Linked DNA regions of Tribolium castaneum. The protein of the gene in region 2 purifies or fractionates together with the protein of the main gene of each other region. This does not show direct contact. Links are inferred from orthologs where the notes say so. Each region holds a gene or a part of one and is shown on either strand. Other genes may lie near its edges. The genes, in order: uncharacterized protein LOC658291; cytochrome b-c1 complex subunit Rieske, mitochondrial.

Region 1 (16,024 bases), on a different chromosome or scaffold from region 2:
AAATTTCAAACGTCAAAGACCGAAAACACTGAGGAGAAAAAATCACCGAAAGAGAGTTTTCGTAGGAAGGTTTCCATCCATTTTAAGGGTAAAAAAGAAAAGAAAAACTCAATTTTTGATATAAAATTTGGTGCTTCTGAACCGAAACATCAAAAAACGCCAAGTGTGGAGTCCCGGAAAACACCGGAACCTAAAACTTCCAGTTCCGGATCTGAGAAAAAGAAACCGGAGGAGAAAAAGGCGCGGAAAAGTGTGTCGGTGAGCCCGGATAGAAAACACGTCCATGTCAAAGATGAGAAAAAAGGTAGGTTTTCAGGTGACATATGCACCAGTGTGTCACTCAAAAGTGTTGTAAAAATCATTAAACAAGAATATATTTTAGGAATGTTTATTTATAGTACCAGTAAGAAAAAAACAACATAAATAAAATAAATACCTAAAGATTTTTCTCAGTGAAACTGTGTTCTCTTTCAGATTTCATCTGCGTATTTTCAAAATTGTTCCAAAATTAAAATTTTTCCATACGTTTTTTTTGTTTCTTTACTTTTTTTCAGATTTTTCATTGGTACTTTTCTAGGTTAATTTTTTTTATAGATTCTTCTTCAGACGCTTCAGACTACTCAAAATTATTTTACAAATTCTCCTTCTACCTACATTTTTTTCTAAATTTTTTCTGTGTCCATTTAAAATTCTTCAATAATTTCGTTTAAAATTTTCCAAAATTATTGAAGAATTCACCCTTTAGATTATTGTATAAACTTCTTTACTTTCATTTTTTTACAGTTTTTTCTACATTCTTAAAATTCTCTTGTAGATTCTACTCAGTTTTTTTTAAATTCTTCAATAATTTCATTTAGAGTTTTTCCAGATTCTATGTATTTTTTAACTTTCTCTAGATTTTTTTTAAAAATCTTTTCCAATTCTTGTCTAAAGCCCTTTCTAAATCTGAAATCTAAACTCTTTTTTAGATTGTGTAATAAAAAAAATATTTTATAAATAATTTTATAAAATTTTATTTTATATTTTTTTTTAAATACTTCTTTACAGTGTTATTTTCTAGATTTTATTCAAAACACTTTTTATTTTTTTTTTTTCTACACTCTTCAAATTCTCTTGATTGTACTCTGACTTTTCAAAACTCTTCATTAGTTTCGGTTAGAATTTTTCCAAATTATATGTATTTTCTAGTTTTCTCCAGATTTTTTTAAATTCTCGTTTAATTAATGTCTAAAGTCCTGAAATCTGAACTCTTCTTTCTTTAGATCCTCTTATAAATTCTTTTCCAGACACTTATTTAAAATAATTTTCTAGATTTTATTCAAAATTATTTATTAAACACTTATTTTACATCTTTTTCTACATTCGCCAAAATTCTCTTTTCGATTCTACTCTGCCTTTTCAGAATTCTTTAATAGTTTCGTTTAGAATTTTCTTAGATTATATTTTTTAGCTTTTCTTAGATTTTTTTTAATTCTCTTCAATTTTTTGTCTACAACACTTTCTAGATCTGAAATCTGATCTCTTTTTTAGATTATTTTATAAATTCAAAATTCTTTTATAAATTTAGATACTTCTTTACAGTTGTTTTCTAGATTATATTCTCCAAAATTTTTTTTAGATCCCATTATGCATTTTTTTTTAATTCTTCCGTAGTTTCGTTTTCAATTTTAAAAGATTTGTACTTTTCTCAAAATTTGTCTTAAGGTTTTTCTATGATTCAATAAAAGCTCTCTCTAAGATCTTTTTTTTACAAATTCTTTATTTTACAAACCCATCTTTACATTTTTTTTTATAAATTCGTCTTTACAACTATTTTCTAGACTTTACTCAAAATTATTTTATACTGCTCTTCTTCTACTTTTTTTCTATATTTTCTACATTCTCTAATAGATTTTACTTGTGTTTCGTTTAGAATTTTTTACAGATTATTTGAAAATTTTACCAAGTTGACAACACTGATATGCAACCTTAAACCGATAGTTACTTTTGAACAGACAGTAAAGCATATCCTGTATTTTTTTTAACGGGCAGTCAGAATTAAACACACGTTAAAATCGCAAATCTAGCGATTTTATTGGTTATTGCTATGGCAACAGTAATTAACGGCTTTAAACCTTTAAACATCCTTTAAATTTTTAAGGGTTTTACCACAGAAACATTTTTCATTAATTTAATTAAGAACACGATTGGAGAAGATAAAAACGTAAATTAAAACAAAAAAAAACATGAATTTAGTTTAGAATTTATTTTTTCGTAATGTGTTTGACAAGCAGAAATATTTTGACTGAATAACATCTATTTTCCCTACTTTCTACTAATAACTAAGAACTAATAAAAAATATTTTATTAGTATTTTGTCTTTTAAAATTTTCCTAGATTCGACATACGGAATTGTGTTATTTTTAATCACATTTAATAAATTGCAATCAAATTTTAAATCCAGATTAACTTAACATTTTCAGTGCATTTTAAATGGGAATTAGTTTAATTCCGCATTAAATTAAAGCTTCGTTAAAATTTATTCGTTGTTAAAAGTCAACAATCCGAATGGACCAATCACATTTGTTCAATTTGGTCACGTGACCACGTAATCACGCATTTAATTGCGAATTAAGGTAATAATGACGCTTTGTTAAACTTAAATTCCCTAGTTTGTTAAACTTGATTTTTATGATCTCTCATCCTATTCAAGTTTTCTATATTACTAAATTGTTTATGTTGTTTGTATTGCCTACAAAAAGAGTTGTCTTTAAAAAAAATTTTGTCCTAATTTTTGTGAAAAAGTGACACGAAGAGTGCGTATGTCACCGCCACCGCCTACTTGAATGTAATAATTAATTGATTAAAAACCAGATAACGACCAGAAACGGCACCGCAAGCACCGAAAGAGCCGCCGGGGGACCCTCACCAGCGTGGAGCGCCCCCACCGCGAGCGCTCCTTCTCGGTGTGCACCGACCGGTCGGAGCACCGCTTCGGGGCCCCCTTCGAGGACTCGGAGCGCGAACGCACCAACAGCCTCAGCAGTTGCGAGACAGTCAAGACGCGCAAAATGTCCAACATTTCCAACATTCCGCTCAATGGAAAAGTGCCGTGGTGTGCGTGCTGGGGCAATGGGTGCATTTAGACACTTACCAAGAATCGTCGATGTTGCGAGCAGGAAGACACAGAGGTGTTTGTTCATGATTAGGTCAGCGACATTGTTTGGCACCGGGTCTGGGTCAAGGGGGCAAAGGGTCGATGCACCTGCAGGAGCCACAAATAAAGCAAGGTGCTAACGGGGCGCTTTTATTACTTACGGTTGATAAACAAATAAATTGCACTGGAAATAACGCCGATTTGTGTAAATATACACAAAGAATGTTTTGGGATGGTTTGACAGATGAAAAGTTACTAAAAATAGAAACGCACCAAAAAAATGTTGGCAACGCCACGCGACGGAATTTTGCAGTGGACCAGTGGACTACTCACCCAAACAAATCATTCGAGAAAAAATACATGTTCTTTTACTTAAATTAAATTGTTGTGATACCAATACGAAAGAATCTATACTGTTTTGTCCTTTATTGTATGATAATTTATAATAAATAAATTGATATCTCGTTTTCTACAGCCAAGTTCACACCAGGAAAATTATGAAAATAATCGTAAATCATTGTAAAAACATAAATAAGCTGTTACGCTGACTTGCATATCACTTTTGTAGAACATCTACTGACCATTCTAGTATGTTTCCATTACAAATTAAAACTTAACTGTATTTAATTTCTGCATTTTTATTCTCATATTCAAGCAATGCAACTGATTTTTTTTCACCCCCTTTATATCCTGATTTTTTTTTATTTTTGCAGAAGATTAAGCCCTTCGATTGTAAAAAAAACCATGTTCGGGCAAACACCCCTTGGGACCTTAACGAATTTTTTTAATATTTATAAAATTTCACGATATTGCAAAAAATTCGTATTTAAGGATTGCTCTAATTGGTCAAATTACTAAGTAATTTGTCCAGCAAGAACCACGTGAAGGTTTAGAGCATTCTTGCCAGGAAAAAGGGATATAGGGATCAGGTAAACAATGATTATTGGAACATAAAAAAGAATTATTGGTTTGTGAAATAACAAAACTACAAAATAGGTTACAATATGTGGCACTCAAAACTATTAAATTCAACACCCCACAAAATAAGGTAAACAATGATTATTAGAAAACAAAAGAATTATTGGTTTGTGAAATAAAAAAATGCGACACAAAAATTAAAATCACCTACCTTCATATCGCTTCTACGTTGGCTACTGTTTGTAGCAAGACATTAAAAAATTAAAACAACACCAATAAAAAATCTTTATTTGCATGAAGGTTACAACAATTATACAAACATATATCAATTTTACACAAAACAAAGAATACCCAATACGTTATAATATATGGCAGTCATCTATTAAATTCAACACATCACTAGATAAATGCACCTACCTTCATATCGCATCCACGTTGGCTACCGTTTGTAGCATTAAAAAAAATAATAATAAAAATGAAACCAAAAAAAAAATGTTTATTTGCTTTAAATTTAGAGCAAGCCACTCTCATTCATTGAAATTAAAAGAGAAAATTATTAAGTGGCATTAAATTGTTTGAGTGTTTGATTTTATTTAAGTTACTGTATTTAAAATGAGTCACTCAAACTATGATTTTTCAACACCGTATTTAGAGCCGGTGTACACAACATTTTATTTGCAATTAAATTTTAAGGAAATATTTGTGAAATAACGCAACACAAAAATAAAATGGTCCTACCTTTCGTATCGCTTCCACGTTGGCTACCGTTTGTAGCATTAAAAAAAAATAATAATAAAAATGAAACCAAAAAAAATGTTTATTTGCTTTAAATTTAGAGCAAGCCACTTTCATTCATTGAAATTAAAAGAAAAAATTATTAAGTGGCATTAAATTGTTTGAGTGTTTGATTTTATTTTAGTTACTGTATTTAAAATAAGTCACTCAAACTATGACTTTTCAACACCGTATTTAGAGCCGGTGTACACAACATTTTATTTGCAATTAAATTTTAAGGAAATATTTGTGAAATAAATAAAACGCAACACAAAAATAAAATGGTCCTACCTTTCGTATCGCTTCCACGTTGGCTACCGTTTGTAGCATTAAAAAAAAATAATAATAAAAATGAAACCAAAAAAAAAAAAATGTTTATTTGCTTTAAATTTAGAGCAAGCCACTTTCATTCATTGAAATTAAAAGAGAAAATTATTAAGTGGCATTAAATTGTTTGAGTGTTTGATTTTATTTTAGTTACTGTATTTAAAATAAGTTACTCAAACTATGACTTTTCAACACCGTATTTAGCGCCGGTGTACACAACATTTTATTTGCAATTAAATTTTAAGGAAATATTTGTGAAATAAATAAAACGCAACACAAAAATAAAATGGTCCTACCTTTCGTATCGCTTCCACGTTGGCTACCGTTTGTAGCATTAAAAAAAATAATAATAAAAATGAAACCAAAAAAAAAAAAATGTTTATTTGCTTTAAATTTAGAGCAAGCCACTTTCATTCATTGAAATTAAAAGAGAAAATTATTAAGTGGCATTAAATTGTTTGAGTGTTTGATTTTATTTTAGTTACTGTATTTAAAATAAGTCACTCAAACTATGACTTTTCAACACCGTATTTAGAGCCGGTGTACACAACATTTTATTTGCAATTAAATTTTAAGGAAATATTTGTGAAATAAATAAAACGCAACACAAAAATAAAATGGTCCTACCTTTCGTATCGCTTCCACGTTGGCTACCGTTTGTAGCATTAAAAAAAAATAATAATAAAAATGAAACCAAAAAAAAATGTTTATTTGTTTTAAATTTAGAGCAAGCCACTTTCATTCATTGAAATTAAAAGAGAAAATTATTAAGTGGCATTAAATTGTTTGAGTGTTTGATTTTATTTTAGTTACTGAATTTAAAATAAGTCACTCAAACTATGACTTTTCAACATCGTATTTAGAGCCGGTGTACACAACATTTTATTTGCAATTAAATTTTAAGGAAATATTTGTGAAATAACGCAACACAAAAATAAAATGGTCCTACCTTTCGTATCGCTTCCACGTTGGCTACCGTTTGTAGCATTAAAAACAAATAATAATAAAAATGAAACCAAAAAAAAATGTTTATTTGCTTTAAATTTAGAGCAAGCCACTTTCATTCATTGAAATTAAAAGAGAAAATTATTAAGTGGCATTAAATTGTTTGAGTGTTTGATTTTATTTTAGTTACTGAATTTAAAATAAGTCACTCAAACTATGACTTTTCAACATCGTATTTAGAGCCGGTGTACACAACATTTTATTTGCAATTAAATTTTAAGGAAATATTTGTGAAATAACGCAACACAAAAATAAAATGGTCCTACCTTTCGTATCGCTTCCACGTTGGCTACCGTTTGTAGCATTAAAAAAAAATAATAATAAAAATGAAACCAAAAAAAAATGTTTATTTGCTTTAAATTTAGAGCAAGCCACTTTCATTCATTGAAATTAAAAGAGAAAATTATTAAGTGGCATTAAATTGTTTGAGTGTTTGATTTTATTTATAGTTACTGTATTTAAAACGCGTCACTCAAACTATGACTTTTCAACACCGCATTTAAAAAATTAAAACGCACGACTGCTACCGTTTGTAGCAAGATAATGAAAATAAATTAACCGCAAATGAAAAAAAAAATGCACTGACCTTTTTAATCCGGATTGTTGTTTCCTTCTTGAAGACCATTCCATTGGCACTAACACACACTACACTAACCGCGATCACCGAATTTAAAATTTAAACCGAAAAATTTAGATTTGCTTGAGCACACGTCCGTTCGCGACAACGGCAAGTAACAAACTGAATAATTTAAACGAAACGGCACAATAATTTAAATACACCGTTCGTCTCGAGCTCCCGAAGTGACCCCTACCACTGCTCGATGCCGACTGAAGCGCTCTCGCCTACTGCGACGCACACCTAACCTCGGGACACGTCACGGATGTGACGTCACATTGTGTGTAAAACAGGTCATCACCAGAAACATACACTCACATAATTCGTCAAATTTAGAAACATTCATACACAGAATTATTCAAAATAGAACAGTATTAACCTAGAAAAATTAATTATAACAAATGTTTTTGTCTATAAACGTTTGAAATTATAAAAGTTTCGCATGCAATTATTGGAAAAATAAAAATGAATGTTGTTATTTAAACAGAACCTGGCAATGTGAATTTTGATGCGAAAATTAGTGGTATCGCAATGCGTATAGCCACAAATTGCTTGTTTGGTTTGTTTTGTTGAAAATTTGGTAGGTTCGAAAAGTAGGGTTATGGTGCCACCTGGAAATGACAAAATTTACACTTTTATCCATTTCTGCCCTTTCAGAGCGTTATGATAGGATATTTAGGGCAGAAATGTCTACCTTGCGTCAAAAATTTATGTGTTATTGCCAGACAGAGACAAAAGTTCAGAAAGTAGGGTTATACTCTCTTCTGAAGTGTTAAATTTTAATTTTAATAGATTTTGTGTGCTTTTCGGCTCTTTTAGGACGTTATTAATCATTGTTGAATATGTTTAAGGGCAGACAAATCTACCTTTGGGTCAACGACATAAACTTCAGTGTGATTTATTGAAATAGGGCAAATATAAACTTCTCGTGTTTCATTTTGATGAAAAAGGAGTTTAATCGTTTATAAAGAGCGTGTTAACGTGTGTTAAGTTTGCCACGTAATAAAACATAAAGTACAACAACTTTTCTATAAAAGCATTTTGCAAAATTCTTATTCATTATTTTCACTATTTTCCTGATTTAATATTTGCAAACGAGCTGGTGATGTGAAATTTTGGTGCAAAAATTACTGGTATTGCTACAAATTGTGTTAGTTTTAAGTCTCCAAAAAATTCGGTTTTAAAAGTAGGGTTATGTTATCATTTGGAAATGTGAAAACTTTAACTGTTATGGATTTTGTGTCCGTTTCCGCTCTTTTAAAGCGTTATTAATTATTATTGAATATGTTTAAGGGTAGATAAATCTACCTTGAGTCAACGACATAAACTTCAGTGTGATTTATTGAAATGTATATAGGGCAAAAATTAACTTCTCGTGTTAAATAAACATTTTGATGAAAAAGGGCGTTTAACTGTTTATAAAGGGTGTGTTAACATGTGTTGTTAAGTTTAAATGCAAAAATTAAATGCAGTTAAGTTTTAATTTGTAATGGAAACACATGTTCTACAAATGCGATATGCAAGTCAGCGTAACAGCTTATTGATGTTTTTATAATGATTTACGATTATTTTGATAATTTTCCTGGTGTGAACTTGGCTGTAGAAAAGTCTGGTCGACTGTAATCAGCACCAAATTTTGTACGAATGGTTGCTTATCACCTGCATTCAAAATCCATCACAAAAATAAAAAACGATTTCCTAATTCTAACCATTTATTCTACCAAAAAAAAAACAATTCAGAATTCAGGTTTTCGACTTTTGGGCACACTCATTAAAGGGCACATTCTCCAACCTTGGAATTTCCTCCCTCAACCTAACCTCGTATTGCCCAGGCTGTATTTCCCTAGCCTGGATAACAGTAACCCTTAATTCAGTTTCTACAGCCTTTGAATAATTCACTAGTTCCTCTATGGCGTGTTTATCGGTCACGTTTTTACATTTTTTGTACTCTTCATTAATTTTGGAACGTGCTTTGGTCAAGGCATTATTATCTCCTTGAAAAACATGTTTTCGCGCCTTGTGGAGTGACTTGAAAGCAGCTAAGACCTCACGACGTAGATTTTGGGCCATTTTTATTGAACCCCTTTTTGTTACATAACCTCAAAAAAAATTACTATCCAATAAAAAAATCAATTATTGTGTTACGTAAGTCTTACCGGATTATTTTGTAGGATGTTTTTAACTTGAATTTAGTATTTAATTGAAAATTTGGCCGAAATTGTGTTTATTTGTGTGTACAAGGTTGCCAACACAAAAATGACATTTTGACAATTAATCTCACTTTTTAATAATTAAATATTTATTTTTAACGCCACGATTGGAGGAAAAAACAATTGTTTTAAATGAGAGAAATGCCCTTGAAATTAATACCAGAATATTTGGTATCAGGAAAATACAGTAAGGGTCGCCAACATGAAATTTGTCAAACTTTGCGCATTACTTTTATTACAAAAATTATAATACTTGCATTATCACCGCGCTTAACAGCCTCAGGTCACACAGTCGTCAGGACGCGTTAAAATATTGAATAATTCCTGTCCAGAATCTCTTTAACTTTGTTAATAAGTGGAAACTGCCGACTTTGCACTTTTGGATCGACTTTACAAACCCCCAAATAATCATCAGCGTTTAGGGAATAGACCATAACGCCCCCAAACTGATTATCTCGCACAAACTCGGCCTAAAAACCCAAACTGTACCAACATCCCAACTCAAAAATCACTATAAAATCGGTAAACCCCCTAGCCAACTCACCTTAAAGGAGAGACTTTGTTCGTTGTCAAAAGAAACCCACTCTGTCCCTTTGGTCGCATAGGGACTTTTCGAATCCAAATCAAAAATTGGCGAGATCTGATTCATGTTTAAAAATTTACAAACTTGGGTATAATCCACAAAACCGCCACTTCCCAGCTTGCCGTAGCCACGGGCTGGGGCGTAGAACCCACTGTTGTGAATATTCGTCAATCTACGAACAGTTTCTAGTTTGTAACTGATTCGGTGAAATTTTACTTAGGCACACTCGCATAAAAATGTGTAAATTCCCCAGATTTATTCATCTCATTAGAAACGACTAACGATTAAAAAAAACAATTCAAATTGTAGTGAAAAAATAGGTGACCAGAAAAAAGCCCATAGGAAAAAAGCTCACACAGAAAAATACCTACTTACCAAAAAACTGAAGAAGCCCACTATAAGCTGCGTTTAAATTAATGGTTATTACGTTTCCTCTCTAGTTCCAATTCATTAATAAACTATTTTTTGTCCTCTTCTATTTTAAAGATGCATTTGCCCATTCTTTTTCAAATTTACTACCAACATTCAAACACCTGCAAAATGGTCTTGTTGGCAACACTTTTAACGATTCTATTCGGAAATAAAATTAACTAGACGCCCTCTGGTGATGACTTTTGAATTATGTCGAAAACAGTAAAGAAATTTTCGTAATGCCACATTTAACTGACATCAACTGACATTTAATGAATTGTTCAACAATTTTGCGTGTATAGTGTTAATTACTTACAATAGAAAGAATTCCTTTAAAAGTACGTGGTGGTAAATACTAGCGTTGACTTTGGTTCTGTAGTTTTTTGTGGTATAAAGTGTTTATTGTTGGAACTTGAAAGTGGATAAAAAGTGAAAAATATTTAAATTTTGATTACAAAGTGTTATCAAACAGTTGTCTAATTAAAGATTATAAGTAATGGATCACAGCGAACACAAAGTTTGGCTCAAAAAACCAATAAAATAGTGAAGTGTTATGAATTTTAGGTTAGAATTTTCCACTGAAAAAATTATGAAATGCTGCGGTAAATCTACAAAACTACAATAAAGATTAACAACTGCTGATACATTTAAACGTAAATTATGCCAAAAGGTAGGCTTTTCAATGTCTTTGTAATAATTTTCCAATAAAGAAAGTGAACCAAACAGTCCTTCGTTATTCGTGTTTTCCTCGTCATCTCTCATTTGTCAACATAAGTTTCTTGCATCAAAGATGCAATAATCATTCCGCATAGGCAATGTAATAATTGTGAAGCCTCAAAATTCGTACAACGCTCAAAATATCCGAATAAACATTTTCCCGCCATTTATGGTTACTGTTTTCAACCTAGCTCAGTGGCGCTCCCAACGGTAATTTTACTTCCGAATAATTTTCTAATGTCTATCTTTTTTGAACAAAATGTGGACATTTCTGATAAGAGTGATGGTTTTTAAAATAATTTCAATTATGGACTTTTATGAAAAAATACAGGGTGTTAGGGTAATATGTTGCAATATTTTGAATGTGAATTAATGCCGATGACAGACGACTCAAAAACCCGACATTTTTTCCCAAAACTGCATAATTTTAAACAACTGCGTGGTTTAAGGTAGTTTTTTTTTAGTAAAGTGAAATAAGTGGCCCATGGACGTTTTAAAAATTTTTTAAACAATGTTGCTATTGATTGCTTGCATGTTCATTTGTGTGGGAGGTTCGAACCCAAGTTCTGGCATTTTTTTTTTGAGTGAACCAAAAATTTAATTAACGCTGCTGTTTTGTCAATAATTTTACGCTAATTTTTATCACTCTAGTTCAGCGATTCTCAAAACCGTTCAGAACGGTTTTTTTTTTTGGAAAAAATCTACCTTCAAATTTTTGCTAAAACATTCCCAAACACGCTGTATAATTTTTTGAATTTCATAATTTATGAGAAGAACAGAGCGAACAGATCAAGCAGTCTAGATTTAAGCTATACGTAGAAAAACCGTAACCAATTTCCAAAATTTTGAAATTTTTAAGTAAAATAAAAAATTACAACAAAAAAATTTAATGGTCTTTACCTAAAAACATTTTACACGGTTACACTTTTGATTATTACTAGTTTTTCTAAGAGCATTTTTCCGTGTGGGCATTTATCTAGTAGGTTTATTGCATGGTCATTTCGAAGTCATTTGATTGGTTGCTTTATCGAAAAGAGCCGACCTGATCCGATCAAGTCAGCCGGCTACTATATGTCAGAAAATTGACATTTGACAGTCAAATGTCAATTTTGTATTTAAAAAAATTATGATAAAAGTGTTATTATGCAGTCGAATGTGCCTAAAGTAAAATTTTACCATTGATTTTGAGCTATGTACCGAAAAGTGTGTCCATAAGCAGGCAAACCAATCACAATTTTCTCCCTTGCCATCCCTTTGGAAACCCAATAGTGTGCCGTGAAATTAATATTAAGCGTTGAAAAGTACCCCTTATCCTCCATGGCGGGGTACAGGGGCGAATTGAGCCCCGTAAAGGGGGTCAATTTGGTATAAAAATGATAATCATACGACATAACATTAACAAAATCAACAAACTCGTTCAAATAAGGCACATCATAGCAATTATCCACCAGAAAAATGGGGGCTGCCACAGCCACCGTCACAATAAACTTATGCCTCGCCTGCTTATTAATCGCCATTCGAAACTCCTCCAAAAGCTGCACGAAATGCACCTTCTGGTTCCGGTCCTTCCCCGGACTTTCATTCGGAAACTCCCAATCGAGATCAACCCCATCCACGCTATAATTCCGCACTAAGTCGATCACCGATCGAATAAAAACTTTCCGACTCGCGTGATTTAACACCATGCCACTGTAGCCCCCATCATTCCCAGCCCCGCCCACGGACACCAACACCTTCAAATCCCCATTGACTTGCTTCAACCCCACCACGGTTTGGAGCACCCTCAGCTCGTCCCGAGTCAGCTGTACCCCATTGGGGCCCACACGGGCGAACGCCACGTTGATATGCGTGCACAGGAAGGGGTCCAGGCTCTCGGGCTGCAGCCCCCCGTCCGCGCTTGGAAAATTATAGTAACAAACTAGCCTAAAATCGGCGATTTTTGGCACGTCCTCTTCGATCAGCAGCAGCCCCCTGTCGTCGGGCTTGCGCAGCCGGGAGCTGTACATTTTGGCACGGTGGGCGCCCCGACCTGGCCCCACTAAACAACAAATGAGTGATAGCCCCCTTGGTACTTTTGCCTACCTTCGGTGGGGCTTCGGGGGTACAAGAGACTTTCGTTGCTTCTAAGTATAATCGTGTAAATACCACAGAATATTATGACAGGGACGGTGATAACGGTGATTATGAAGAGGGTGCGCCCGTCGAACCATCGTCTCCTAAAGGGGGCACACTAATCAATTGCTCAAAACCAACAATAATCACCTGTTATTTCCCAATAAAACGAACTGAGAATGGCCAGAATAAATATCAGTCATAATTTGTGGTTAGGTTTTTGTTGACTGACAAATCGGGTCACGTGACCGGAAACACTTCCCCAAATTTGAATAATTGATAAGGATTATTGATAAAATTCGAATTGTGACGTGCCGTTGGGGTTTTGCAATAAACTAAAAAAAAAATGATGAGTAAAATGTCATTGTTCGGGGATCAACTGTGATAAGATAAAATCCTAACACTTTAATACCCACCATTGCATTGTTTGGCAAAATGAGGCTGTTATTTGCGTTGGTTTTTACAATTCTGGCTGTAATTACGCTATTTTGTTTAAATATAAGTCCCTGTGTGGTTTTTAGGTGCGAGCCGATGTCCGAGTGTGTGACATCAAGTGCGAACCTGAAGATGAGTTTCTCGACGCCGAAACGGGCGAATGGGACGATTTTATGGACGAATTGGTTGCAAAAACCTTCGAAGAAGGACGAATGCTCCCCTGTAGTAAAGATCCTACCCAACTTATCACAGTAGACCCTGGTGATGACATTGTTTGGGACTTGCGGTTAGTTTTTGTGTTTTTTGATTGTAAATAATGATGGTATCATTGATTTCAGTTTTAAAATCTATAGCGAACGCAAAATTATAGGAGAGAAGACGTTAAACGATTGTTATTGTGATTTTACCGATTGTAAGAGTGAGGAGTTTAGGCAGTGTTTGGCATCGGCCCGGATTGCAATGAAAAATGATATAAATACGGTTTTAGTGCGTGGTATTGGTCAATATTTATTGTTAGAATCGTTAAAATGTTAAATAAATGGTTAAAAAATAATATAGTTTGTTTAAATCGTCTGTCTGCTGGGGCGCGACGAGTCCGCGTACAATGGAATCTGTATTTTGGTTTGAAACTTTGCTAAATTTTCCGGGCGATTATTTAAACTAATAATAATAATAATTCGAGTAGGCTTTGGTAATTTTTTAATGTGTATGAAAACGCTGATAAGCATAATAAAAACTGAAGAGTTATATAATAATGTAAGGATTAAAATACATTGTTTATTTCAGTTTGCCTAGTTTATCAAAGCCGCCTAAATTTAAATTTACAAATTTACAAGAGTGTAATCAAATGTCCCAATAATAGTCCACTAGGTTACTATATGAAACCTGTCTTAATGGACACCTCCGAATAACGGACACCTCTTCACAACGGACATTTTTGTAGCAATTAACAGAATTGGAAAATAATGTAAAAAACGGACTATTTATAAAAATAACATAAACTAGTTAATTACTAATTATTAATTGTGTTATTAAACACTGACCGGTTCGTTTGCACAAAGGAAAGGAGGAAAACAGTGAAAATAACAAAGAATTTTGCTAAATGTTTTTATAGAAAAAGTTGGACTTTATGACTTTTATTACGTACTTAATGTGTTCATACTATTACATATCTCAAAAAAATAAACCACGGAGCAGTACCAAACAAAAAGCAAAATGATAAAAAATTAATTCTCCACAAAACTACACATTTTTTATTTCGTCTGATGATCTGAGTCTTGGGTGCCAAAAAAAATACACCATTTATGCACAACATCATTGTAAATATGTGTGCAAAAATTGAACCCAATACTAGCAATAGCAAGGAAAAAATACCCTTTAGAAAAATTTCTTTGCGAAAAAATTTCAAAATTTATTTGCCAGTTGGAGGCCATTTGCCACAGTAGTTGGAAATCCGGTTGAAAATATGTATAAAAGTAAAGGGTAAAAACACGTATTTTTTGATTTGACAGTTTGATTTTGATAGTTCTCGGGGGCCGCCTTAAGACGTATCCTAACCTTTAGATCTCCGTAGTCATAGAAATTTGTAAAAAAATCAATTATTGTCCAGGTGATTTAAACAAGCAATAAGCCGATTTTGCTCGTTATTTTCGCTCAGAACCTCAGATATTGATTTATTTTTCGATTGTTACCAGACGTTGGCAATCGAGATGTCACTAGAAAGCGTGAAAATTATTAACAAAACCTCACGTAAAATTATTAAAAATTGCAGTCACAGGTGTGGATTTTTCCATCTAATGTAACAAAAGCCTACGACTTTTGTACCAATTCTCTGTGATTGTTTTTAAACGGTGGCGACACCTTCGGTCGGTAAAACCAACCTACCGCCCTGCAGTAAAAATGTCACGCTCGCAATAACAACACACTTACGACAGCGGAAGTGCAATCAGCCCCCTTCTGCTCGTCGTCAAGTTGTGTAATTTGTTTATTTACAAACAAAACTGATCGTGTGCTTGTGCGCAAAAATGGAAGACGAAGTTCTCGTAAGTTCGCCTTTAATTCCTGAAAAGTCGAAGAAACGCTACGAATCGGCCTATAAATTTTTCAAAGATTGGTGTTTCGCGAAAGACAACGGCCCCATTTCGGAGGCGTTGCTTTTGGCGTACTTTCAGGAAAAACGTGCAATTCTGAAATCGCCGTCGAGTCTGTGGTGCGAGTATTCCATGCTGAAAACAACGATTTTTGTCAATGAAAATATTGATATTTCCAAGTTTGTCAAACTTAGAGCTTTCCTGAAGCGACAAAACGCCGGATACAAACCCAAAAAATCAAACACTTTCAGCAGGGAACGAATCAACCAGTTCCTCGAAGAGGCTCCAGACGAGAAATATCTTCTCATGAAGGTAAACAAATGATCAATTAAGTTGGTAGCGAATGACTCCTTCAATTTCCGAAAATACCCGAACACAAACAAAAAAAATGAGCTTCAATATTGTAAGTGTATGTTTGGTTGCCTACTTTAGAGATGTTTAATCAAGTGGAATACAGAAAAACCACTAAACGTCCACTCAAATATGGCATTTCAAGAGAGGTAGGAATTGGTTAGTGATAAAAGATTTTATTATTTACGAAAAATTGTGTTTTTTTTTCAAAGAAAGCAACTTTTATACTATGGTGATGATGGTAGTAGGTAGGATGGTGTCTTAAACTAGTGATGTGAAATGAAAGCCTTACGTCCTCTTGTCACTATTTGTCAGGAGATGGCGTTACGTTTGCACTTA
Region 2 (16,230 bases):
ACTTTTGTGGAACATTTTGAGCTACTTTTCAAAGGTTTAATTTCTAATTTTTTTTATCTTGTATCTTTTGAATTATTTTTTTTTGTTTTTTACTTTGTAACTAAAATAAATTTTTTGTATGCACTATTGCATTTTTTGCAATATTTTTTCACTATATTTTCGTCACCAAAAGATTACATTTTTTTTGTTTTTTTCTCTCATGGTTTTTGCTTATTGAGTAGTATTTTTGTCACATTTTGAGATATTTTTAGGGTTTTTTTAAAGAATTATATTAATTATCTATTTTAATTACCAATTTGTTTACTTTTATTCATAATTTTTCTTTTTTCTATATATTTTTTACTATATATTCTTTTCACCAAACTATTTTACGATTTTTTTGTATGCCATGTTTTTTCCTGGTTGATTTTTTCCAGTTTTTTTTTAAATTTTACCATTTCTGGTTCATTTTTGAGCCAAATTTCAATGTTTTTTCGTATAAATTTCTGTTTTTTCCACCGTTTTTCACCCGAATCTACCTTTTTCTCCCCACCCCCTTCGCCACCCCCACCCGTCGGCCATGATGTGACGTCACAGCGCCCCATCAACTGGGCGGTCCCGTCCGCATCGCCTCTGCCGTCTAGGTAGTCTCCTCGTGGTGCATGTTCAGTTCGGGTCCTCGCGAGTGCCAGCTCTTCTCCAGATCGCCCCCAAGTGCCACCACCACCACGGAATTCACCGTCTCCACCGCCACCGTGCAAGGCCAATGTGTGACGACGCTCCCGACGCCTGGAAGCGCGTTCGGAGGTGAGGCGGCGCTTGGCGGCGGCGGCGGCGGCGGCACCACCACCACCACCGTCATGAACCAGCTGGGGACGGTGTACGCCACCAAGAGGCGCCGACGGAACGGCAAAAGGTGAGAGTGCAAAGTGGGGTGGGTTCAAAGTGAGTGTTTTATTTGAGACCAAATGTAAGTAAAATTTTCAAAAAAAAAAACGTTGGGGAAAGTGGAATTGTTATTTTTTGATTTCTTCAAAAAAAAGGATCAAGTATTCAAAAGTTTTACTATTGTAAGTAAAATCTGTTCAGAATTGTGGTGAATCGTTGATATAGCTTCATTTCGCTACTCTCTACTTTTTTAGTTTATTTTTCTCTTTTGTGTTATTCTCTTTACAAATCCTATATAACTGTTATTTTTTTCATTTTTCGCATTGTCTCTGTCTAAGACTATGCGTTTTTAAGTAAAATTCGTTACAAAAAGTTGATTTGCTCTTCTAAATTTGATTAAAAACTGTCAAAAGCATCTATAACAAAATTTTGATTTTTTTTCTTCTTGTATAAAATCTATTTCGTTATTTTTTGTTATAAATAAGTGATAACAAGTGAAGTAGACCGTTAATATATCATATCTACATATTTCATTACTCTACTTTTCAAGTTTATTTTTTCTTTTTTTGTTATTGTTTTTACAAATTCTATATTCTATTTTTATTTATAACAAAATTCTGCTTATTTTATTATAAATTTATTTCGCTTTTTTTCTTCAAAAAACAAGTTATAACATACATAAAATCTGTTACAAATTGATAATAAGCTAAGTAACTTTTTGAAAGAAAAAAATTCGAACGGGGGAAAGTGTATTTATTTTTGGATATTTTGTAAATTAATAATCATATGTCATTATTATGCACGATAAATTACTATCATTGTAATTGGTCACAAATCATTACAATTTTACAAAGCTCTAACAGTTCATTTATTATTTATTATCTTATTATACTTTATCTACTTCAATTATTGTTATTTCTATTTTGATTTTTTTGTTTCGCAAATAAAGTCACAATCAAATATTCAAAAATTTTAGGATTACGAGTAGAATCTGTTCCAAACTATTGATGTGAGTCTGTAATTTTTTTAGTTTTTAATATTCTTTTTTTATAATTTCTCTACAAATTTTGTATTATTGTTAATTTTTTGTTTATTTTACATTATTTCTGTCTAAAATTACGTTTTTAAGAATTTTTAAGTAAAATCTTTTGTGAATAGTTATGAAAACGTATTTACTAAATACCAGCAATTTGGAACAAACAATACAAAAGATTTTTTTGATATTTTTTGTTTTCCTTTGTTCAAAACCTGTTTCGCTATTTTTAGTTAAAGGACAATCAAATGAAATAAAAATAAAACAAGAAAACAAGTTATAACAGATGTAAAATCTGTTACAAATTGCTGTGAAGCGTCAATATATCATTTTTATTGCATTCTGTTTTTTAGTTTTTTTTCATACTTTTGTTACAACGCGTAAACTATCTCTTAACTATTTTATAAGTACAGATAATATGTGTCCATAATTGGTGTGGTTTTTAAAGTTATATACAATTTTTAAATACACAGCAATTTAGAATAAACTATAAGTATACTTAAAAAAAATTCTGATTTTTCTCAAAAGTCGTGTTCATTTTTTTCTAATTTCATTGGAAGAACAATTAAACAAAATAAAAATAAAAGAAAAAATCGAGTGATGATAAATGTACTATCCGTCACAAATTGCTGTGAAGCGTCGGTATGTCATTTTTTGTTGCACTCAATTTTTTAACTTATTTTCTTTTTTTTTTTTTGTTAACTTCCTTCACACTATATAACATTTTTTTTAAACAAATATCATATGTGTCCAAAATATTTGTCATTATTTTATTATATCTGTTTTTTATATTTTTTTACAAATAAACTATTTTTGAAGTATAATTTGTGGTAACATGTATTTTTGCCCAAAAATTATGATTTTTGCTCAGAATGAAATAAAAGCAAAAAAAAAACAAAAATTGTAGAAATAAAGTCTGTTACAAATTGCATGAATATATCAGTTTTGAGCATTTTGAAACTGATATTACAGTTCTATAAAGTACTTCTTCGAGCGACGGCAAGCGATCTAACCTCAACTTTTCGCTGTCACAAACCACTATATATTTTTTTCTTACTAATCATTTGACATTTCATTTTTCCTCGTCAATTGGAATAATTTAAATGTAAAACCCCTCTAATGAAATTTGTAATTCAAAACAGTTTTATTAAAAATGAAACGGTATATCGTATTATTTATTAAAAAAAAGTAAAAAACTGAAATCCGTCACGTCATATGTTGGCCGAATTTTGCAAAATCAAGTCTCAAGGCCGTTTATTGTTTATAATGGTGTCCACACACGCCTAAGCAGCTACGTCACAACACGTAAACGTAAATAGATATAGCTCTTTACCTACAGGTAGTATCACGCATCACGCAATTTCTTATTTCGAGATCTAGTCAATTAACCGACTTAATATAAGTATATTACAAAATTCGGTTGGACAGCCTGACACATACACACTTTTTCACCAACACTAATAACCCTCATAATACTTAGGACTTTTTTGCGTAATTATAGGTAATTTGCGCGATCTAGATTTTTTCCTTTTGAAAAATTTTCAAAAAATTCGACTATTGACGAACGAAATTACACGCTTGTTTTGCTGTTTCCTCACTCATTATTTTCTACATATTATTACGAGTAATTAGAGGCAAATTGCAGTGCTGGCGACCTGTTGTTAGCGTTCGCCGGACGGGAGCAACAAATGTGCCCCACCCGGTATGGTGCGAAATTTTTGAAACACCCTGTACAACTTAATCGTGACTCGCCCTGTGGGTGGATCAATTTGTGACTCACCCTGTATCATTTTTATGGTGGGTGGTGTAATTATTGACTAACTCTGTAGAATTTTTTTGAAAGTGGAATAATTTTTGATTCACCCGGTATGATTTTTTGAGTGTTTTTGATCAATTTTTTGTTACTTTTTATTATTCTTATTGGGGAAAAAGCCGTTGAAAGTTGAATAAAAAAGGGAGGTAAATAATTTAAATTTATCAAATCGGTCGTTTCGCATGTTTGGTTCAATTTCCATAAGCAAGTGTCATAAAAATATTTTATTTTTGTGGAATGACTGTTATATATCAAGCTACCCTCGACGAATAATTCCCCTCTCATGGGCGCAGCAACTCTTATCTGATAAGAATTTTTTAGGGCTAATTATGAATATGGAGAGAGCGAACGAAATAATAATGTAACGTGTTTTTTTTTTTTCGGGAAAAATTCGCATTTTAAACGAGCTGTTCGGAGCCGATTCTAATGATACAGTAGCGAGATTATTGTCTGCAATCGATGGAATGTTAAATGGCGCTAACCGTGAGAATGCGCAGAGAAGCGATCGAATTTTTTGCACTGGGGGCGGTTTTTCGGCGTTTGAGACGCTGGGGTGGGGACGGTTGGGGTGGTTTTTGCTGATTTGGGGTCGCAATGGATTTGTGCATCGAACGGTGTATTTTTTTCAAAAATTTGTTGGAAAACTTTGAAGATATTTGAGTTGTTGTCTGATCGATTGTTTTCATCTCTAATTTTTCTTGAATTCGATTATTTTTGGCTATATTTTTGGTACGTGGCTTTGGATCTAAATAATTTTTGCAGATTTGGATTCCCCGGTTTATTTTACATTGGGTCACTACTTTTTGGTGAATTTTGGACAATTGTGTCAAAATAATTGCCAAAAAAATGAAGAAATTATGGATTTTTTATATCATCTAAACATTTGCTCATATTTTTGGAATGTGTATTGGGACTTGCTTAATTTTTGCAGATTTGGATTCTGCGGGTCATTTTACATTGGGATTACTAGTTCTTGTTTGATTTTAAAGAATTGTTGAAAAATATTATTCAAAAAATTGAAAATTTTTAAAATTTTATCACAAATACACTGTGCTATATTTTTGAAACGATTATTTGAACCAAAATAATTCTTGTATATTTAAATTTTGCGGTTCATTTTCGTTGGAGAAGACTAACTTTTCCAAAATTATCTCAGAAACTTTGAAAAAAAAATTGTGAAGATAATAATCGTAGTCTTGACGTTTATTCTAACGACTATATTATTTATTTTAAAACGATTGTCACACTGATCATTGACTCATTCTTATGTAAAATTGTTCAAGAATCTCGAGTATTTTGTTTTTTTTTGCGTTACAGTTATTTGTTTTGTCAAATCTCAGAATTATCATAAAACAGATTGTAGTCAATTTTTAAACATCGCTTCTGTCTTACCGATTTTTTTAAATTTTGACACACGACTACTGTCTATACTTAGCATTTTCTTATGTAAAATTGTTCAGGAAATCCAAATCTGTCATTTTTTTCTCAATAAAATTATTCGTTTCCGAGTTACAGACTGTTAAACCAAAGCTTGTAAAAAAAAGATTTTATTTTAATTTAACGTTTTTTCAATTTTTTTTACAACATTATCAATATCTTAAACCACTAATATTAAACACATTTTTACATAAAATTGTTCAAAGAATCCAAATCTGACATTATTTTCTTACTGAAATCATTTGTTTTTAAGTTATAGGCTGTCAAACCTTAGCTTGTCCAAAAACAGATTTTTACAGATTGGACGTTACTTATTACAATTTTTTTTTATGATTTCGATACTTTAATTCACCTATAATTGATACATTCTTATGCAAAATTGTCAGAAAAATCTAAGTTTGTCATTTGTTTTTGACTAAAATCACTTAATTTTGAGTTATAAGTTGTCAAATCTCAGGTTGTGTTAAAGCAGATTCTATGGAATTTTGATCGTTTCTTCAAATAGTTTACATTAATATTTCGTTACTTCAAACTACCAAAAATTGACATGTTCTTATGTAAAATTGTCTAAGAAATCTAAATCTGTTATTAGTTTTCTAATAAAATTGCCTATATTTGAATTATAGACTGTCAAATCACAGTTTGTCAAAAAAAGATTTTATCAAATTTTGAACAACACGTCACATAACAATTTTTTGTAGCGACTTCTGTGATTAAAATAAGTGATAGTTGACATTTTCTTGTGTAAAATTGTTCAAGGAATCTGAATTTGTCAATTTTTTCTCACAAAAATCACTCATTTTTGAGTTATAAGCTTCAAATCTCAACTTGTTAAAAAGCTAATTTTATCCAATTTTTGACGTTTCTTTAAGAAATTTTTTTATGATTTCGACACTTAGCACGAACGATAAGTGACACATTCTTACGTAAAATTGTCCAAGAAATCCGAAACTGTTATTAGTTTTCTAATAGAATTACCTATGTTTAAATTGTAGGCTGTTAAATCACAGCTTGCTAAAAACAAATTTTATTAAATTTTGGACATCACTTCATATAACAATTTTTTGTAGCAATTTCTATACGTGAAGTAAGTGATAGTTGACATTTTCTTATGTAAAATTGTACAGGGAATCCAAATCTGTCATTATTTTCTCGCTAAAATTACTCATTTTTGAGTTATAGGCTTTAAATCTCAACTTGTTAAAGAGCTAATTTTATCCAATTTTTGACGTTCTGTCAAGCAATTTTTTTTATGATTTCGACACTTAGGACAAACGATAAGTGACACATTCTTACGTAGAATTGTCCAAAGAATCCGAATCTGTTATTAGTTTTCTAATAAAATTATCTTTGTTTGAATTATAGGCTGTCAAATCACTACTTGCCAAAAAAAAAATTTATAAAATTTTCGACACCACGTCATATAACAATTTTTTTTAGCAATTTCTATACGTGAAATAAGTGACGGTTAACATTTTCTTATGTAAAATTGTCCAAGAAATCCAAATTTGTATTTTTTTTTACGCTAAAATCACTCATTTTTGAGTTATAGGCTTTAAATCTCAACATTCTTAAAGATCTGATTTTATCCAATTTTTGACGTTTCTTAAAGCAATTTTTTTATTGATTTCGAACGAAAAGTCACACATTCTTACGTAAAATTGTCCAAAGAATTCGAATCTATCTCGCTTTTTACGCTACACTCACAGATTTTTGAGTTACTAAATCTCAAATTTGTTATTTCAACTACAAATTTGCTATAATCCAGCTGAAGCTTGTAGGGTTGGTATCAAAGCCAATGACCCAACAAAATATGAGAGAGCAACAAAACAAGGCGGGAATGTATAAAAATAAATAAATTTTTTTCTTAGTTATTTATCTACAATCCTTGAATTCGCTCCCGGATTTGGCGAGGGAGTGATCAATCGGGACACACCCCCGCAACAGCGCCAACCGGCGACGCATCGAACTAACAATTCCATGATTCATGCGTCGTTTCTAATTTTATTACCCTTGATATAGCCCCCATTAAACCAACTCACACAATCAAAGAACGAATTTTATTATCCAACCATAAACAATCAGCCAACAATTAGCGTCCCAGCGTCTGGGAAATGGTACTCGGGCACCTCCAGGTTCGTGGGCGCCGGCCCTTTCCGGATCCGCCCGGAGGAGTCGTAATGGGACCCATGACATGGGCAGTAATACCCTCCCCAGTCGCCCGCGTTGGCGATGGGCACGCACCCCAGATGGGTGCACACCCCGATGACCACCAGCCACGCCGGGTCCTTGACCCGCTCGGAGTCGTGCTCCGGGTGCCGGAGCGTCGCGACGTCGACGCTCCGCTCCGTCTGGATCTCCTCCGGAGTGCGGTGTTTGATGAACAGGGGTTTGCCGCGCCACTTGAACGTGGCGTTCTTGCCCTCGGGGATGTCCTCCAGCTTGATCTCGATCTTGGCGAGGGCGAGCACGTCGGCGGAGGCCGCCATGAACTCCACGTAGCGGATGACTTCCGCTTTGGCGCCGTAGAGGGCGACGGTCACGGCGGTGCCGGAGACCATGTAGGGCACCAGGTGGCGCGACGGGGCGCTGGAAGAGGAGGACGAGCAGGGGTTGGGGTTGCGCCGGTAGGGGGTGAAGTCGGGCACCTGGATGTCGGTGTGGGCGAAGCGGGAGATGATGCGACGGAGGAGTGACATTTTTTTGACAAGTTGGGGTTTGACAGGTTGTGGCTTGGAGACGAGGGGTTGGAGCGAGGTGGGAGTGGCAGATTTGGATTCCTTGGGTGATTTTACCTAAGGGTGGGTTAGCTTAGACAAAAGTATCACAGTCTTTAAAAATAATTGTTGAAACAGACGTCAAAATGAGAGAAAATTTAATTTTTGGAAAGCTAAGATTTGACAGCTTTAACTCAAAAACAAGTAAATTTATTAAGAAAAGAATGACAGATTTGGATTTCTTGGACAATTTTGGGTAAGAATATGTTAACTATCGATGGACAAAAGTATCACAGTCTTTAAAAATAATTGTTGAAACAGACGTCAAAATGAGAAAAAATTTACTTTTTGGAAAGCTAAGATTTGACAGCTTTAACTCAAAAACAAGTAAATTTATTAAGAAAAGAATGACAGATTTGGATTTCTTGGACAATTTTGGGTAAGAATATGTTAACTATCGATGGACAAAAGTATCACAGTCTTTAAAAATAATTGTTGAAACAGACGTCAAAATGAGAGAAAATTTAATTTTTGGAAAGCTAAGATTTGACAGCTTTAACTCAAAAACAAGTAAATTTATTAAGAAAAGAATGACAGATTTGGATTTCTTGGACAATTTTGGGTAAGAATATGTTAACTATCGATGAACAAAAGTATCACAGTCTTTAAAAATAATTGTTGAAACAGACGTCAAAATGAGAAAAAATTTAATTTTTGGAAAGCTAAGATTTGACAGCTTTAACTCAAAAACAAGTAAATTTATTAAGAAAAGAATGACAGATTTGGATTTCTTGGACAATTTTGGGTAAGAATATGTTAACTATCGATGAACAAAAGTATCACAGTCTTTAAAAATAATTGTTGAAACAGACGTCAAAATGAGAGAAAATTTAATTTTTGGAAAGCTAAGATTTGACAGCTTTAACTCAAAAACAAGTAAATTTATTAAGAAAAGAATGGCAGATTTGGATTTCTTGGACAATTTTGGGTAAGAATATGTTAACTATTGATAGGCGAAAGTATCACAGTCTTAAAAAAAAATTTTGGAACAGACGACCAAAATGAAATAAAATTTGATTTTTGACAAGCTAAGATTTGACAGCTTGTAACTCACAAATAAGTAATTCCAATAAGAAGATACTAACAAATTTGGATTTTTTGGACAATTTTACGTAAGAATATGTCAACAATTAATGGTGTAAAGAAATGAAATCATTGAAAAATTTGTTCGAAATATCGTCCAAAATTAGATAATATATGATTTTTGCCAAACTGTGTTTTGACAGCTTTAACTCAAAAATAAGTGACTTTATTAAGAAAAAAATAACAGATTTGGATTTCCTGGACAATTTTGCGTAAGAATATGTCAACGATTGATGGTCGAAAGTATCACAGTCTTGAAAAAAAATTTTAGAACAGACATCAAAATGAGGTAAAATTCGATTTTTGGAAAGCTAAGATTTGACAGCTTGTAATTCACAAATAAGTGATTCTAGTGAGAATACACTAACAAATTTGGTTTTTTGGACAATATTACCTAAGAATATGTCGACCATTAATGGTGTAAAGAAATGAAATCATTAAAAAATTTGTTCGAAATATCGTTCAAAATTAAATAATATATGATTTTTGCCAAACTGAGATTTGACAGCTTTAACTCAAAGACAAGTAATTTCATGAAGAAAAAAATGACAGATTTGGATTCCTTAGACAATTTTCCATAAGAATATGTTAACTATCGATGGGCGAAAGTATCACAGTCTTTAAAAAAAAATTAAAACAGACGTCAAAATGAGAAAAAATTTGATTTTTGGAAAGCTAAGGTTTGACAACTTATAACTCACAAATAACTGATTCTAGTGAGAAGATACTAACAAATTTGGGTTTTCTGGACCATTTTACGTAAGAATATGTCAACCATTAATGGTGTAAAGAATTGAAATCATTGAAAAATTTGTTCGAAATGCCGTTCAAAATTAGATAATATATAATTTTTGCCCAACTGTGTTTTGACAGCTTTAACTCAAATATAAGTGACTTTATGAAGAAAATAATGACAGATTTGAATTCCTTAGACAATTTTACATAAGAATATGTTAACTATAAAGAGATTGCATTATCATAGTCATTAAAAAAAATTGTTGAAAATGATGTCCAAAATTAGATAAAATCTGATTTTTGGTAAGCTATGATTTGACACCCTGTAACTTAAGAGTAAGTGCTTTTAGTAAGACAACTATGACAAATTCGGATTTCTTGGACAATTTTACACAAGAATATATTAAGTATCAGAGCAGTGAGACATACATATCAGAAAAAAAATTGAAGAAATGTTTTACTTGAAATAAAACTTGTTTTCTGACAAGCATTGGTTTAATAGTCTGTAATTCAGAAATAAGTGATTTTAGTGTAGAAAGAATGACAAATTTAGATTTTCTGGACAATTATACATAAGAGTATGCCAATTATCAGTGCCGTGAAACATCGACATTATTCAAAAAAATTTTAGAAAAATTTCTTAAATTCGGCAAAATCTTTTTTTGACTACTTCTGGGCTTATAACTTGAAAACAAATTAGTGCAGTAAGAAAACAATGACATGTTCAGATTTTCTATATAATATTACATAAGAATATGTCAATTGTTCATGGTACCAAGTGTTAAAGTTGCAAAAAAATTAATTGATTAACAATCGTCAAAAAAATCAAGAAAATCTGCAGTCTGAAAATTTTTAGGTTTAACCTCTTATAGCTTGAGAATAAGTGATTCTAGCGTTAAAAAAACACAGATTCGCATTTTTTGAACCACTGTACATTAGAAAACGCTAACAAAAAAAATTTGTCGTGTGTCAAAATTGTTTAAAAAATTTGGTAAAACAGACACAACAATAACCCAAAAACAAATAACTGTTGCGCGAAAAAAACTAGATACTTATATTTTTGGGCCAATTTTACATATGTATATGAAAACAATCTGAAACTATTCTGAAAAAAAAAATATTAGAAGTTATGTCCAAAATTAAAATCTGCTTTCAGACGGTATTAAAGTTTGACAGCTTGTAACTTGAAAATTTGTAAAGTTGGCAAAAAAAGAATAAGATATCTGGGATCTCCGGGCAATTTTACACAATTCTTAGCCAACTGTTCACGCATCAAGTGATGAAATTATTTAAAAAAATATTTCTTAGAAGAGACTCTTAAAAACTACTTTGATAACTTTGACAGGGTGTAACTCAAAAACAAATGACTGTAGCGCGAAACGAATGACAGATTTGGATTCCTTGGATAATTTTGCATAAAAAAAATTTAAAAACAAAATATTTTTCGCGCCGTGTTTTCTTTGAAATTTATTATAAAATTAAGTGTAATCCCGATTCAACAAAACGCAATTTTAATTAGATGGCTTCGCGATAAGAACCAGTTTAAAGATGATAAATGGTTAAGTGAATCGCCTTCTGCTAATTAGCCAAGCGAATCAATACCACTCAGACAAATAGCACACACAATCAGTGTGAATTCACCTAATAAATAAAATTATCCACCGAGATAACTCACAACAATAGTCAATTGCATATGCAACACCTCGCACTATCTCTCCTAACAAGCGAATAAATCCGCAATGAGAGAGGTCTTTAAACCGCATAGATACTCGCTTATTTGAAATTAATTAATTTTTGCTGCTGCAGCTTGCACAGCGCGCATGCAAATTCTTGATGCGACAATTATTTATCTCTGGATGCGATCGAGTCGAAATATAGATTTCTCGAATTACCTAATTTAAGGAGGAAGGTATCAGCTGCCAGTCTGGTTCGACACCTGCCTGACACAGACCAGATATGTCCCACTCGGCCAATTAATAATTGCAATAATTACGCCCCAATTAAATTGTATGCAATTAGGCGCAATTATATATTCTGAGGAAATGACAAAAATTTTAACTTGGCTTGGTATAAATGCACAATGGAATTATGTGTGTAAGTAAAGGTTCGCATTCCCAGAAATATTATGTCAGATGATTGTTTGTTAGAGTAATGTGCGTATGGAGGAATTGTTTGTGATATGGTAATAACAGTGAGGACATGACAATTGTTTTGCATTTCCGGGGTCCCGTGTTGGACTTGGAACTTTCGCTTTTGCTGCTTTATTTACAATTTTTGAGAAAACTATTAGCCGGAGAAGAATGATTTTTTTCAAAACGATAGATAATTAAAAGAGCTTTCCAACGATAGTAAACTTGATGGGATTATCTCTAGTAGTTCCATAGTTATTGCTCGATAAATGTGTAAAAATTGTAAAAATAAAAATTTTAAAAATCGAACATATTGACTTTTTTGTACTATTAACAACTATAGAGGGTTGTAAAGGCATAAAAATATCAAAAATTTTGTTTTTTTATTAATTGTTTTACTGATTTTTTTATATTTTTTTTAACATTTTTTTTCTTCATCTGTCAGATTTAAAACTATCATTTTCTTTTTCTTTAGAATTTTCAATGTTTTCAAATTTTTTTACAAACTACTGTCTTAACTAATTTTTTTTTCCAATAAAATATTTTTGTTTTCTTTCTCTCTCAGATTCAAACATTTTTTTCTTTTTTTTTTTGTTTGATAATTTGTTAATTTTTTTTACTTTTTTCTTTTTTCTTTCTTTAAGTATTTTCTTAAGTACACATTCCCATTTTTCGTTTCTTATTTTGACAAATTCAAATTCATCTTCTTCTTATTTTTGTTTTTTTGTTTTTCTTTAATTATTTTTACTTTTACTTTATTTTTTTTTCAATTTCCTTCTTAACTAATCTTATTTCTTTTCGTCCTTCTCTGTGAGATTCATATTAATTGTCTTCTGTTTTGTTATTTCGCATCTTCTCTTTTAACTTACTTTTTCTTTCTGTTTTCTTATCTACTTCCGCGAAATTCACATCCGTACTCTTCATTTTTCAATTTTCTTAATTTTTTTTTATAATTCTTTTATTTCTTTTTGCTTGTTGCTTCTTTCTTTTCAGTTTTTTCGTCTGTAGTTTCATTAGTTTTTTTTCTAACAAAACATTTTTTTCTTCTTCTTTCACTTTTTAGTTTTTTAATTTTTTGCATCTTCTCTTTTAACTTATTTTTTCTTTCTGTTTTCTTATCTACTTTCGCGAAATTTACATCCATACTCTTCATTTTTCAATTTTTTAAATTTTTTTTTACAATTCTTTTAAATCTTTTTGCTTGTTGCTTCATTCTTTTCAGTTTTTTCGTCTGTAGTTTCATTAATTTTTTTTTCCAACAAAACATTTTTTTCTTCTTCTTTCACTTTTTAGTTTTTTAATTTTTCGCATCTTCTCTTTTAACTTATTTTTTCTTTCTGTTTTCTTATCTACTTCCGCGAGATTCACATCCATACTCTTCATTTTTCAATTTTTTTTTCTTTTTTTAAAATTCTTTTAAATCTTTTTGCTTGTTGCTTCTTTCTTTTCAGTATTTTTGTCTGTAGTTTCATTAGTTTTTTTTCCAACAAAACATTTTTTTCTTCTTCTTTCAATTTTTAGTTTTTTCAATTTTTTTGTCTTCTTCTTCTTTTTTATTTAAATTTCTTGTTTAACTAACATTATTATTTTTTGTCTTTTTTTTCGCCAGATTTAAATATATCATCTTCTTTTTCTTCATTATATAATTTCTTCATTTTTTTTAATTAAGTGCCAAAAAAAATTTAAGCAAAAATTTTAAACTTTTAAAAGTTTAAGCGTAATACATATGATGAGACGTAGAATTCAGTGGAATAAACTGTTTTTCTATTAGTCTTTTAGTTTTCGCATAAAAGACATAAAAAAGTTAAAACTTTTACTTTATTATGCAGTTTTTATACGGCGATTGCTGAGATTGAGAGCAAAACGGTTTGTTCCAATGTAAAGACAATTTAAAATCCTTCAAGTAGCAATTTTGACAATTTCTTTTCAAAATTTTGGATTTTTTAATTTTTATATTTTCTTAATTTACGTCAAAACTATTTGAAAATGTGGACGTATTTTGGTCTAAACTCATATAGAATGACTCGGGGAATCGACTGGCGCCGAAAAAATTGCCAAATTTTTATTAGTTTTTTGGTTATGAAGCTTTTTTTATTTACCAATTTTTTCATTTACTTGCAATTTTCTCGAAAACTATTAGTCGGAGAACAATCACCTTTTTTGAGAAAGATAGACAACGAAAAGGGCTTTCCATTGATAGTAAACGTCATAAGATTGTCTCTAATAGTTTCGGAGTTATTGCACGATAAATGTTCCGGGTACCGAAAATCAACAAAAATTGGAAAAATCAAATTTAAAAAAAAACAAACTTATATACTTTTATTGTACTTTCAACAACTTGAGAGGATTATAACGGCATAGAAAAGTCCATATAACTTTGCCAAAGTGAGTTTGAAAAAAAAATTTTTTTTTCATTTTTGTGAAGTTAAATACCTGGACCATTAAAATTTTGGACAAAAAAAATCAAAAGTTGGTAAAACACGTAGAATGGGCCGCAGAATTCACCGGAACAAACCGTTTTGTCCTACGATTTTTAGTTTTCAAGTTATGAATTTTTTAGTGAAAACCTAGAAACTCCTCTGTAATCGGAACCATGGCCGGGAGCGACTTCAGGTCACCACGAGGAAATAAATAATTTAAAGCACATTCTCTAACTTTTATTGTTTTTGTTTCAATAAGTCTTATAGTTTCCGAAAAAGTGGCTAAAAACAAGTTGAAGTTTTCATTTTCTTAGAGCCGATTACGGCGAAACTGTGGCATAAAGTGTAAAGTGTCGTTAAAAACCGGCTTGTGTAAAATATTACAGTGTCCAAATGAACACGTCACCAGCTCAGGCAATCAGGCAATGAATAATGCACCCAAACTAATTCCTGCAGCCCTTATTAGTGCATCGTTTACCCTTCAACCCTTCGCATTATGAAAATCCATCTAGGTGGCACGTGTCCGTCGGCTTTCTCATAACCGGTTAATATGTTTCGCCACGAAAATGTCGTGGGATTTATGAATGAATGTGGCGTTCGTTTCATGTAAACACAGTGTTAACAAAGAAGTAACGGGCATTTTAGTAGTGGTCGTAGTAAAGGCAAAGAGTTGAAGGGAGGAAGTTGTGGGAGGATGGTGCGTGGAGACTGTGAGTGATTGTGCGCGGCACGCGAAACAATCAAACACGAAACGAGGGATAGGTCATGGATACCTACTATGGATTACATACACATCACACCAAACATGACACTTGAGATAACTCACACACACACGTGATCAGCGGAATGAGCACGACACACGACCACCACCTGTTCACCAAAACTCATCAATCATCGCTTTTTTAACTTCACTCATTATTGCCAAGAGCCGATTCCGACGAGATTGCTTCACAATGTATTTGTGATAATATTAAAATTTGACTTTATTTTGGAAAGTTAACGACACCAATCGACTCCCCGGAACATTTTACATACGTGTGGTTGATACTAGAACGATTTTGTACAACAGTTTTGGTATAATTTGAGAAGAAACAGATTTTTTTCCTTAATTTTTTGTTTTTAATTTTTTTAGTTTTTTTTTATTTAACAATGTCTTCAATATCTTGTTTAAATTTATGCATTTTTTTATTTATTTTATTAGACACCAATCGACTTACCGGAGCATTTTACATACGTATGGTTGATACTAGAACAATTTTGTAGAACAGTTTTGGGATAATTTGAGAAGAAATAGATTTTTTCTTAATTTTTTGTTTTTAGTTTTTTTATTTTTTTATTTAAGAATGTCTTCAATATCTTGTTTAAATTTATGCAATTTTTTTATTTATTTTATTAGATAATTTTTATCTCTCGTTTTTTTGTCTAAAAATTTTAAATTTATTTCTTCATTTTTAATAGTACTTATACTATTTTCTGTGTTTTTTTAGTACAGGTCAGCTATTTTCATTCTTCGAATTTTAATCTATTTTCTTCTGTTTTGTTTTACAACTTCTTTAATTCTTTGTATTTTTTTTTTACTTTTTTTTAACTAAACATTGTAATTGTTAGTTTTTTTCGTCTTCTTTCGAGAGTTTTAAACTATTATTTTTATTTTTATAATTTTTGTAGTTACTTTTTCTAGCACATGTTAGAACATTTTTTTAATTCGTCTAATCTATTCATTTTTTTAATGGAGAATTTTAAGTCTCGTTCTTTTCTCTCAAAATTTTAAAATGATTTTTTCATGTTTACAATCTTTTTCAATGTCTTTTTATATATTTTTTTAATTATTTATGCATTTTTTGTAATTAAGGTTTTATCTCAGATATTTCTTCAATATTAAGCTCTAATTACTTATGGACTTTTGTCTTTACAAACTAATTACAATACTGCTGAC

What was found.
Region 1: the proteins of cytochrome b-c1 complex subunit Rieske, mitochondrial (region 2) and uncharacterized protein LOC658291 purify together in Homo sapiens (co-immunoprecipitation; 5 studies listed by BioGRID and IntAct, with this or other methods). This does not show direct contact. The link is inferred for Tribolium castaneum from reciprocal best matches to the Homo sapiens genes UQCRFS1 and LYRM7.

Annotation. Positions count from the first base shown.
Region 1 is NC_087401.1:12,975,163-12,991,186, forward strand, and holds uncharacterized protein LOC658291, read right to left. Parts: upstream 9,039-16,024; 5' UTR 8,933-9,038; intron 8,890-8,932; exon of another isoform or gene 8,876-8,889; 5' UTR 8,847-8,875; coding exon 8,520-8,846; 3' UTR 8,471-8,519; downstream 1-8,470. Other genes in the region: tyrosine-protein kinase transmembrane receptor Ror, read right to left, coding at 3,134-3,182; pre-mRNA-splicing factor CWC22 homolog, read left to right, coding at 1-304, 2,854-3,125; chitinase-3-like protein 2, read right to left, coding at 10,045-10,102, 11,874-12,735, 12,780-12,913, 12,960-13,012; uncharacterized protein LOC103313405, read left to right, coding at 13,245-13,283, 13,331-13,530, 13,583-13,778; uncharacterized protein LOC100142506, read left to right, coding at 15,269-15,646.
Region 2 is NC_087400.1:3,778,531-3,794,760, forward strand, and holds cytochrome b-c1 complex subunit Rieske, mitochondrial, read right to left. Parts: upstream 7,957-16,230; 5' UTR 7,850-7,956; coding exon 7,232-7,849; 3' UTR 7,192-7,231; downstream 1-7,191. Other genes in the region: ss (aryl hydrocarbon receptor protein 1), read left to right, coding at 642-895.